Schizosaccharomyces pombe: one gene and its partners. The protein of the gene in region 1 interacts with the protein of each later gene in a biochemical or structural test. Each region holds a gene or a part of one and is shown in the gene's direction. Other genes may lie near its edges. The genes, in order: pct1, spt5 and tup12.

Region 1 (3,757 bases):
TCTTGTGCGAAAATTAACGCTTTGCCAGTTCATCCAATCTGGCTTGTAAATTGTCTTCAGTCTTTAACTCCGGTACCGTACCAATTTGGGTCGCAGCATCTGGCAATCCTTGAGACAAATCGACTCCAATTTCATCCAACACTTTATTGACAAGTTCATCAGCTTCCTCTTCGTCATCTTCTTCTAAAGCATCGTCCATATTTTCATCAATCATTTCTTGTCTCTGTTCCATAATTTCATTTTCACGCTCGAATTGCTGAGTGATACGAGCCATTGCCGGTATATTCATGCTTTTGTTCATCCCTGTCAATAACTTTGTAAAAGTTAGTTCTATATTTTTCGATATTAAGGTGAAAGGAAAGTCATTATGAAATTCTTTTCTTTTAAAACCCAGAAGATCCTCAATTGATTATTTACGGCTTCCATAAATCAGAAAGAAGAAATAAACAATGGGGTTAGTGTAATCTTACCCTGGTAGCACCTCGCATACTCTGCATCATCTGTTCGCTGGTTCTCATCGTCTATAAAAAGATTAGCATTATGGTTAAACGAAAAAATTTAAAAAATCTCATATAGTGAAGATTATCAATCAAATGGACTTACTTGTAATCTCAAAGATATAGCTTGTAGCTGCGTTTTTGCATTCATCATTTTCTTACGGCTATTCCTTAGTCTCATCAAATCCCGAGCTTGAATACGGGCAGCACCAGTATTTCCGGCTTTTGCACTACCTTTAATTTCTTGAATAAGCGCTCGCTCCCTTTGGTCCAATTTCGTTCGTTCACGATCCAATTCCCGTTCAGCTCGACCAAGAGATCTCTGATGAGCCCTCAGCTGTTCTTGAGGGGACTTCCCCCCTCCAAATAGCCAAGAAGTTAAGCCCATGAGCGTTTCGCTGTGGTTGTGCTCATGAATGTTTAGTTATTGATAACACACACGACACAAAATGGCTTAATATAATATCATTATATACGTAGTACGTTTTGTATATTAACTACTATATTGGAAAAACACATAAATCGTAACAAATTTTCATATTTAAAGTCTATATTTTTGATAAGCTAGACTTTTAACTATATATATTTTCAATCAGAAGATTAATGATAAAAATTCCAACTAAAATTTTTTGAATTTGTCTATCTAGGAAAGGTTATTTTACAAACAATTGCTACAATTGATGTGTGCAAATGTGTATTTATTATGCTCTAGCAAGCAGATCTAGTCAAATATCATACCTTGTAAACGTATGTAAAACATCCAGGAAAAGCTTAATACTACAGTTATTAAACTGATTTAGAGGGCTCAAAAAAAGCTAAGTAATTGTGTGTGTAAAACTGGGTTGAATAAATAGCTTATTAGTTAATAGCATACTTTACAATGTATCACACTTTACTAATTTTTGATAGTTTAACAGTTCAATAAACTGGATAGTTGAGAGTTTGAAAATTATATAAAGAGGTATTTAAACCAAGCATCTTGAGTAGCTTCATTTGAACATGCCAAGCGAGTATTTGAGTTTTTGACAAGAAGATCAACATCATTGTCATCTTAGCTAGCAATGTTTGATAAGTTCAATATAGCTTTACTTCCACACTTTTAACACATCGATACACTTGATTTATACCTGAAACAAATTACGAACGTAGCCTAACCTAACTCATCCAGATAGAGGTACGAAATCGACACGAACGGTTATAAAGTTATTGTAAGTTTCTATACGGTTTTCATACTTAACGGTAATCATACGTATTATATCTGATAAAATTTCACATCAAACTATTTTATTCAACAAATCCCATTTTTAATATATCCTTTTTGCATATGTTAAACAACCTGTCGGTATACTAAGTACTAAACGGCAAAAAGGAACTACCGAAAGTGACAGTGTCAGAATCAATTAATATGTTTACAAGAAGAAATGTATAATTAAAAGTAATGCTATTGAACAATTTAGTTGACTTCAGTTTTGGGACAAACTTAGCAACGTGGATGTACACGTTAAGTGAGTACACCTACTAACCATATTAACTAAGAAAAGTACGAATTCATCACGAATGGACCTTAAAGGTTTATTACATGAAGAAAACGAACTGCCTTCTATTGAAAAAAGAAAGATAGATGAAAATGCTGTGGAACACGATAAAGTCGAAAGAAAAAGGACAAAATCCGTAGCTGTACCAAAGATAGAAATGAACTTCTTAAATAAACCGATTGTTCCAGATACGACTAAAGTTATTTCAAACTTTCTTACACATTATTTGATAACTGAACCTGTTGAACATGTGGAGGTTGGTAAATGTTTTTAGTCATACGTTCTACTAACTGATTTTTTCTTATTTTAGATTGAGGCGAAACTTGGTACATTAATTGACTTGGAAACTCAAAATCGATTTGAGTTTCCGGTGATGAATGAAACTATTTTAAACCCGGAATTTAATCTTCGTACTCGGTTTGAAAGTGATATGACCGCTTCCGAGCATAAATATTTGAATGAGTTTCTTAATCAGGCATTTCGTGATTCACAAAAACCTGGACGGCTTCCTTTTGCCTATAAGCATACAAAGCAAGTAGATTTGTTCTATGAAACTGAAGATAACTCACGAGATAAAATACGCGTCTCAAAAAATCAAAGTGACAATCAAGTTTTGGCCTGTGTGAAAAAGCGAAGAGTTGCTGATTTATTTTTATATTGCCCTAATGATGCTTTTGATATACGAATTTCCATCAGCGACGAATTACCTGTTTCAATGCCTTCAGGTAATCAACAACCAAGTTTGACACGACTTAAAGATCGCGTTGGCTATGTGCATCAGGAAATTAAAATTGATTTGACTAAAACTACTCAAAATGACCCAGTTTACGATACCACTGAACGTCATGAGCTAGAAGTTGAGTTTGGTAACATCGCGGATTTGAGAGATCGTGCTCAAAAGGCCAAAGATGGAATGGAAGCTCCTTTGTTTCGGAGGGTACAGTTGTTTATGGACAATGTTCGTATTTTGAGACGAGAGCATTCTTAATTCTTTACACTTTTGCTACTTATTTGACATTCTTAAGTCATTTCTTAATAATTGTTCCTTGCTTTGCATCAGAATGTAAAGGGGTTTTTAATTACTTTAATTTAATCATCATTTCATACTGGGCAATAATCAAGGTAAAAGAAAGTCACGTTAGGTATAAACCCCCATGCACATATTTTAATTTTCGATTTTGTATCTCGGTGATTCTAAACTGAGGCTTAATCTTGGATGATTCTATTTTTTTTTTTACCTATTACGACGGGTAGTTAGAATTTCTACGTACATTTTCTAAATGTACACCTAAATTAAGGATCAGCTTTGTCTGATAACATCATTCGTTATAATTACTGTATCTTTACGAGAGCAGCTTACAACTCCTATATTCCTTTAATTGCAAAGTTTTCAGTTACTTCACCCAATAAAAATATTTATTGAAGAATTTTCATACCGAATATACAAAATAGCATTATAAAATACAAGTGTCCAAACCTTTGATTGCAGGTTATGTTTTAAAAGCGGCCTCAAACACCGGTACTTCCAAAGCCATTAGCACCGCGGACTGTAGCCTCTAAGCTCTCTACAAGTATGACTGGTGGATTGACAATTCTTTCCAAAATAAGTTGGGCTATCCGGTCTCCGACCTTTATAGGAAAATCAACATCACTGTAATTGAAAAGTAAAACACGAACATGGCCACGATAATCTGCATCAATCACACCGGCGCCAGTGTCAATGCT
Region 2 (3,757 bases), 1.6 Mb from region 1:
CTCATTAACTGTAGGAAATGAGAAGATGGGCAATTCATCGACAGGGAAATAATGAGGTATAACGACAAAATCAATGGTAGAAGACAAAAATTCAGAAATCTGGCCTCCATTATCGCTCAAACATTTATGAAGCCTGGAGACCTTAGTGTTTGGAAACTCGTAAAGATAAAAAGTCAAATTTTTAAAAAGTTTAGCTTCGTTTTCGATGTTGAGTTCCGTATCTAATTCGTTTTCTTCTAAGGGTTGAACAGTTTCGGGAGTGAAATCATCCAGTAGTACTGAATTTTCTTCAGAACGGCTGGAAAATTCAAATTTTCCATTATTAAGTTCTTCCCATAAAATACTTCTATCTCTCTTCTTTCCCCGTTTCATAATCACGGGTTCTAAATCCGCTTCCTCCGCCAATGCAGCCAAGGATTGACCAGACTTTTCTTTATTCTTGCTTATTTTTTGGTTTTCAGAATAAGACTTTGCCTCCGTAGTATTGGGATCTAGACGAACATACGCGCCAAGTCCAATTTTTTCGGCTGGCATATCCAATTGGAAATACTGCGGCTCAAGGACAGCATTCCTTTGTATACTTTGCCATAACCATTCAACGCAAACTACGTTGATTTTCCACTTTAATGCATATTCATATTTGCGACCCGATGAGGTGCCAGCTATTAAATGAGTTACGTCTCTAGTTAAGTCAGGGCAAAATGTACCACCATGCTTAAGCACATAATTTTCAATACGAGATCTCTCTGGTTGGCCAATGTTGGTAAGACAAACCCGGCATTTAAATAGAGTTGGTAGAAAGTGTTTATCGACGAGCAGGCCATCATCCAGATCTTCTCCCTGTACCCAGCTTTCATAAAGAACAGGTATCCATTCACTAGACATAATCTTTATGTCTGGTCTGGATTTTGCGGCAAACTATTGAAAAGAATGTCAGCATTTACTCTTGAAGGATAGTGTAATTTGTAAGATTTTACGACATACCTTGTATTTTGGAGTATCAAAATCGCCGGCTATAAGATGCGTGACATCCTTAGTAAAGTCTGATCTATAGGCAGCACCAAGTTTAGTTGCTTTTGTAGATATCTCGGTCTGTCAAGTTAGTAACACAAATAACAAAAAATGCGATTCGTCGTGCAAAAATCTTACCCTTTGCTTTAAATCGATACTGGTACAACATATCACGAAGCCTTTGAGTGGTTTAGAAGAACCCATTCTTTCACTACCGACATTTATGAGTTCTAGGTGAGTAGGTATAGGTAATTTACGAGTACAAACGCGTCCATCACCACTACATATTATTGTGAGGAAATGCAAAAATTGGTAATGTTTAAAAGGGAAAATAAAGAATGTTTAGAGAAAATCGACTTTCGAAGGTTAAGAGTAGATTGAAGCTAAAACCAAGTTGTTATATGCTACCGTGGTGGGTGCGAAGATTGACAAATGGAGAGTCATAAAAGGCCAAAATTAAATTTTAAGCATTTATTCGAAAAACTCGACTGTATTGGCAATGTACACGATGCTGTATAGCTGAGTAGCATCATTGGTTTGGGGGAAATTATGAACAAGCACCAAGAGCTGGCTATTATATTATTCCTCATTTAACCTGTATCATAATTATAAGATTTATTGAGTAAGAAGATAGTATATGGACACCACCTTTGTCCTATATTCTCTCGGTAAAAAATATCCTCTTATCCAGTTTAATATTTATATTGGATTTTAGTAACGCAAAGGGATATTGCCCTAAAGGGTTCATAGTTATATGGAATATAACATAATATTACAATTTAAATGTAAGATGAATTTATTGATAATCTGAGCATCCCATTATCTTTAATTTCAATTAAACCAAGTCTAACTTTAAGATTGTGTATGGCATTTCGTGTATACAAGTTTGTTTACCAGCAGTGGCAATTGCTCAAGCTTACCATTAAAGCAAATACTTTTAAAGCAAAAGTTTGATTTTACAAAAAAACCGTAAGTATTCCATTCTAAATTGCTTCTTTCGTATATCTATACTCTTGTCGCTGCAAGCCATACAAGACCTACTTGCTTGGTAAAATAGGGCAGCAGTACGTACTGTAAGTCACCTTTAACAAAACACCACTTGTTGAATAAAAAGTTCATTAATCGGCGAACCTATCGCCTATATTAGATTAAAGGTCTAAAAACAAAGCATTGAGGGAATAGGTACTATTTCCTCTTTTTTAAGTCACAATGGATACGAATTCTCCGAAATCTATTGATAAAGATGCAAATTCGACTGAGGTAGATGCAGCTGAGCAAGATGCTGCTTCAGTTAAAATCAATTCTACCCGTGCATCCCCCAATGGAAGTGACTTGCTGAATGATGATTCTGAAGCTGCTAAAATTACTACAAATGAAAAACAGAGTTCTCCCGTGGATTCCCATAACGAAAGTCCAAATGATACCACAATTAATAAAGGCGAAGATGGGAATGAAAACGAAGTCGATAATGTAAATAACAATGACAAAAAAGAAGATGAGGATAATGTTGAAGAAAACGAGGAAGAAGCTGATGCAAACGAAGAGGAAGAAGAGGATGAAGAAGATGATGAGGAAGACGAGGAAGATGAAGATGAATCAGGTGGCGGTAGAAGAAAAAGGGCTCGCCATGACCGCCGCAACCAATTCCTTGATATTGAAGCAGAAGTAGATGAGGACGAGGAAGAGCTTGAAGATGAGGAAGATGAAATTGGTCGTGAAGATGGTTTCATTGAAGAAGAAGTTGGAGCGGATTACGTCGGTGATGATCGTCGCCATCGTGAACTTGACCGTCAAAGACAGGAACTACAATCTGTTGATGCTGAACGCCTTGCTGAGGAGTATCGTGAAAAGTATGGTCGTAGCCAAACTGTTGTTGGAGATACAAGCAATGTTCCCCAACGTCTTCTACTTCCTTCAGTGAATGATCCCAATATTTGGGCTGTTCGCTGTAAAATTGGCAAAGAAAAGGATATTGTTTTTACCATAATGCGGAAAGCTATGGATTTGCAATATACTAGCTCTCCATTAGAAATCATTTCAGCATTTCAACGTGACTCGCTGGTCGGTTATATATACGTTGAAGCTCGAAAGCAATCACATGTTCTAGATGCACTTAATGGGGTTTTAAATGTTTATACAAATAACATGATTTTAGTTCCAATTAAGGAAATGCCGGATTTACTCAAAGTTCAAAAACAGGTTGTTGAACTGTTGCCTGGTGCATATGTGCGTATACGCCGTGGAAAGTACGCCGGTGATCTCGCTCAGGTTGACAACCTTTCAGAAAATGGTTTAACCGCACGTGTACGTATAGTTCCTCGTATTGATTATTCCGATGGGTTGAAACGAAAGAATTCTGCCACTCGTCCTCAAGCAAGACTCTTTAATGAAAGCGAAGCATTTAAAAGCAATCCTTCTAAGTTTTCTAAACGTGGTCCTAGACTTTTCCTCTTCAACAATGAAGAGTTCGAAGATGGATTTTTGGTAAAGGACATTCGTATTTCCTCACTGATAACTGAAGGAGTTAATCCTACACTTGACGAGGTATCCAAATTCAATCCTAATAATGAGGATTTGGATCTCAGCTCTTTGGCTCTCAGCGTCAAAGGGGGCCATGCTGAATTTCAGCCTGGAGATCATGTCGAGGTATATGTTGGTGAGCAGACTGGAGTAAGTGGTGTTGTTGAAAATGTTCGAGGTAGCGTTATTACCATGGTATCCTCTGATGGTTTACGGTTAGATGTAC
Region 3 (3,757 bases), 2.3 Mb from region 1:
CCGATAAAGATGGCTGCTCGTCATTCCTACCCAAACTTTTTACAGACTCTTCCACAGTATATGAATGATGTTTATAATCCATCCGGATTAGCCTTTAACCCTGTGAATCCCAATGCTAATAATTCATTTGTTAATTTGAATTTAATTCAATTCACATCACCATCTCAAGCTCTGTTCGATTACGGAGAAGGTCCTTATGTCGACCAAAAATCACAGTATTTGCAGCCAAAACAGCCGTCTTCTAACACTGATTCAATTGACCAATCTTCCTATAACATGTCTCTTGCTGCTTCCAAACAATTTTTAACGTCTGACACGCAACCCGATGTCAATGAAAATTACTCTTTTATTTCCAATTCTATCCCAAAAAACTTATCCACCTCTTGGAACCAGAATATGGGTTATCATGTAACTAATTCAAACTCAGAACTGGCCTCTCAAAACCCGCTTTATGCTCAACAGGCCGTGTCAATGGAGAGTATGGGCAATGCCATTCAGTCAAGCGCTTATTCCGCTATGTCGACTCCGCATGGAGGTCATTATGACCACTATGCCGCCACTGCGAAAGGTAAAAATCCTTTAGCTGCTGAAAACCACGCTTCTGGTGGTCGTTTACCCAAGGTTCCAATTCCTCCACTCTCGAATATGCGTCGAGGATCTGTTCCTATCATACCTTCATCTGCTTCTTTACCAATGCGTACTTCGGGAAATCGATTCTGTCATTATTCTTCATTAAATGGAAATCACAATCGAATTTCGGCACGTACGAATCCTTATCCCATTAACAACCAAACGATGCTTTTTACTGAACCACTTTCAAAAGAACGCGGCTCCTTGTCATGATTACAAAAAAATTCTTACGAATATTAAGTTTTGTGAGGTTTTTTTTCTTTTTTTTTTTTAAATGTCTTAACGTTATGTATTAATCCTTTTATCCAACTCTTGTTATATGTGCCATATATAAGTAAAAACATTCCATTCAAGTAATGTTTTTTTTATGTGTTTACTGCACAGCTCAATATCTGTTTTTGTACTATTTGCTTTACATTCTGTTCATGTTAGTGGTAGTTTTCAGATGCTCTAGGATAGCTTTTTCCACCAGCAATAACTTATTCTTCAAAGCGGCTTTAAAATTGAAGTTTTTGCGAGTAGCATACTAAATGAATATTTATGCCAAGCAAACAAACCCTTTCAATAAATCTAGGAAGTGTATCATAGTAAATTAAGTCAATGGGCTGAGGAGCAGGCCGTCTATGGCGTATGAAAATTCGAGACTAGTTTCTGGAAATAGCATATAGTGTTTTCAAAGTTATTCACTATCAAGATGAAATTAAATTACGTTAACTTCTATGGAATTCATCCTTAAAGTAAGTTTGTTTCAAAATACCCATAAAATAGTTTTCTTGATTGACTTTAAGAATTCATATTAGGATTATGACATCTACACTTTTGTAAAACTAAACTTCCAATAAAAACCAATACCAAATAATGTTTTATTACCAATTGTATCAAAACGCTTCATATTCTTCCCAAAAAAAAAAAAAAAGGATCTTCTATCTAAAGATTTTCAAGGTTTTAGAGTTAAGATATTTCACGAACTAATTCAAAAAGGGTTTCAATCGATTAACGTTAAAAAATATGTTTTACGAGGTTTCATCACAAATTAATGATTTTACATTTTCCAACTGCGGCAAGTTGAATGAACAGCCAAATTACTAATTCAACAATATTGTCTCGCTAAGCATAAGTGAAATTGTCTTTCCTGACATGTTAATCTCAACATAGTTTGCTTACTTTAGCTTCGAAGCCGAGAAGGTTTTACCGAAATTAACGAATGTTATTTCTCGTTATTTCTCAAACAACATCATTCATGATTACTGTCCGCCAATTCACTTTTACCATCTTCAAGTTTCAATTTATGGCGACGTCCAATGTATCATCACGTGTAAATGAGCTTTTAGAAGCGGTTAAAAAGGAATTTGAAGATATTTGTCAAAAAACTAAAACCGTTGAAGCTCAAAAGGATGATTTTGAATATAAAGGTATCTTATACAAGAATTTGCTGACAAATTTGCGGTACAAATCTAACACTTCTTAAATTAGCAATGATATCTGCACAAATTAATGAAATGGCGCTCATGAAACAAACCGTTATGGATTTGGAGATGCAGCAGTCTAAAGTGAAGGATCGGTATGTCAATTTTCCTAATACACGCTTGGCGAGAAGGTTTGTTATATTAGTACAAGGTTATGCAATTATTGTGAGTGTTGTAGAGTCTTACAAAAGCGATTCCTCTCTAAATATTTATACAATTTACGGTCGTTGACGATAAATCTTTAAAGATGCTAAATAATGGTGGCTCCTTTGATGGGAGTAAATTCTATTAAGTAATCTTTTCATATTTTTACTCCGATGAAGGGTATTTCGTTTTTTACTCAGTATTTGGATGTTTATCACTGTTCGAAGATTCTCTGTCCTTTTCACACTTTTGTCAGCACCAGCATGCCTTCTGCTATGTGAACATTTATTCTCAATTTTATATTATATTTTCTCGAAAGCTATCTTTCTTGTTACTAACTCTCTCTAGTTACGAAGAAGAAATCACCTCCTTAAAAGCTCAACTGGAAGCTAGACGCAAAGAAATTGCTTCTGGCGTCGTCCCACAGTCTTCGAAAACTAAACACGGGCGCAATAGCGTTTCTTTTGGAAAATATGGAAATGCGGGCCCTTTTAACTCGGACAACTCCTCGAAACCTTTGATACTTAATAACGGTTCTTCTGGAGGAACTCCTAAAAATCTTCGATCACCTGCCATTGATTCAGATGGTACTGTTTTAGCTCCTATTCAGACCTCGAACGTAGATCTTGGTTCACAATATTATTCCAGTCCTCATGTACGCCCTGCTGTGGGTGCAACCATGGCTGGATCTGCTATGCGAAGTAAGTTCAAGCTTGCATTGTAGCTTTTGGCAACAGCATTTGTTTTTTGACTTGATCAAGTTTATAGATACTTTTTGTCTTTCACTTTATTGTTTGCATCTGGTATGTTGTACACCGTATGTTCCCAGACAATTTTTTAATGCTGTCATTAATTCGTTTGAATTCCTTGCGGCTTTTGTTCATTTTTTGTAAAACAAAATACTATTGCCGAAACTATTTTGCTTCCTCGTTTTAATTTGGATTTTCTTACTTACCATTCACAGCATTTCCTTCCAATTTACCGCTCGGACATCCTCCACCTCCATCTGACTCAGCTAATTCTTCCGTCACACCTATCGCTGCTCCTTTGGTTGTAAACGGAAAAGTCTCAGGTAATCCTCCTTATCCTGCTGAAATTATTCCGACATCCAATGTGCCTAATAGAGAGGAGAAAGATTGGACTGTCACTAGCAATGTACCTAACAAAGAACCCCCGATCTCTGTTCAACTACTTCATACACTGGAACACACAAGCGTTATTTGTTATGTAAGGTTTAGTGCCGATGGAAAATTTTTGGCTACGGGTTGTAACAGAGCAGCTATGGTTTTTAATGTGGAGACCGGTAAATTAATTACGCTTCTGCAGGAGGAATCTTCGAAGCGTGAAGGTGATTTATATGTTCGCAGTGTAGCATTTAGTCCTGATGGTAAATACCTTGCTACTGGTGTCGAAGATCAACAAATCAGAATATGGGACATCGCTCAAAAACGTGTTTATCGTCTACTGACTGGGCATGAGCAAGAAATTTATTCCCTTGATTTTAGCAAAGATGGAAA

What was found.
Region 2: the proteins of pct1 (region 1) and spt5 form a complex in vitro, tested with the Schizosaccharomyces pombe proteins (2 studies listed by BioGRID, with this or other methods).
Region 3: the proteins of pct1 (region 1) and tup12 form a complex in vitro, tested with the Schizosaccharomyces pombe proteins (one study listed by BioGRID).

Annotation. Positions count from the first base shown.
Region 1 is NC_003424.3:2,675,086-2,678,842, forward strand, and holds the start of pct1 (RNA 5'-triphosphatase), read left to right. Parts: upstream 1-2,000; 5' UTR 2,001-2,054; coding exon 2,055-2,288; exon of another isoform or gene 2,289-2,342; coding exon 2,343-3,020; 3' UTR 3,021-3,541; coding exon of another isoform or gene 3,542-3,757. Other genes in the region: ESCRT III complex subunit Did4, read right to left, coding at 14-313, 471-521, 604-885; dut1 (deoxyuridine 5'-triphosphate nucleotidohydrolase), read right to left, coding at 3,542-3,757. UniProt on the Schizosaccharomyces pombe protein: First step of mRNA capping. Converts the 5'-triphosphate end of a nascent mRNA chain into a diphosphate end.
Region 2 is NC_003424.3:1,061,647-1,065,403, forward strand, and holds the start of spt5 (DSIF transcription elongation factor complex subunit Spt5), read left to right. Parts: upstream 1-2,097; 5' UTR 2,098-2,220; coding exon 2,221-3,757. Other genes in the region: BRCT domain protein Rad4, read right to left, coding at 1-918, 985-1,092, 1,150-1,215. UniProt on the Schizosaccharomyces pombe protein: The spt4-spt5 complex mediates both activation and inhibition of transcription elongation, and plays a role in pre-mRNA processing.
Region 3 is NC_003424.3:375,278-379,034, reverse strand, and holds the start of tup12 (transcriptional corepressor Tup12), read left to right. Parts: upstream 1-1,897; 5' UTR 1,898-1,918; coding exon 1,919-2,042; intron 2,043-2,103; coding exon 2,104-2,191; intron 2,192-2,588; coding exon 2,589-2,941; intron 2,942-3,204; coding exon 3,205-3,757. Other genes in the region: gluconate transmembrane transporter inducer Gti1, read left to right, coding at 1-843. UniProt on the Schizosaccharomyces pombe protein: Transcriptional repressor.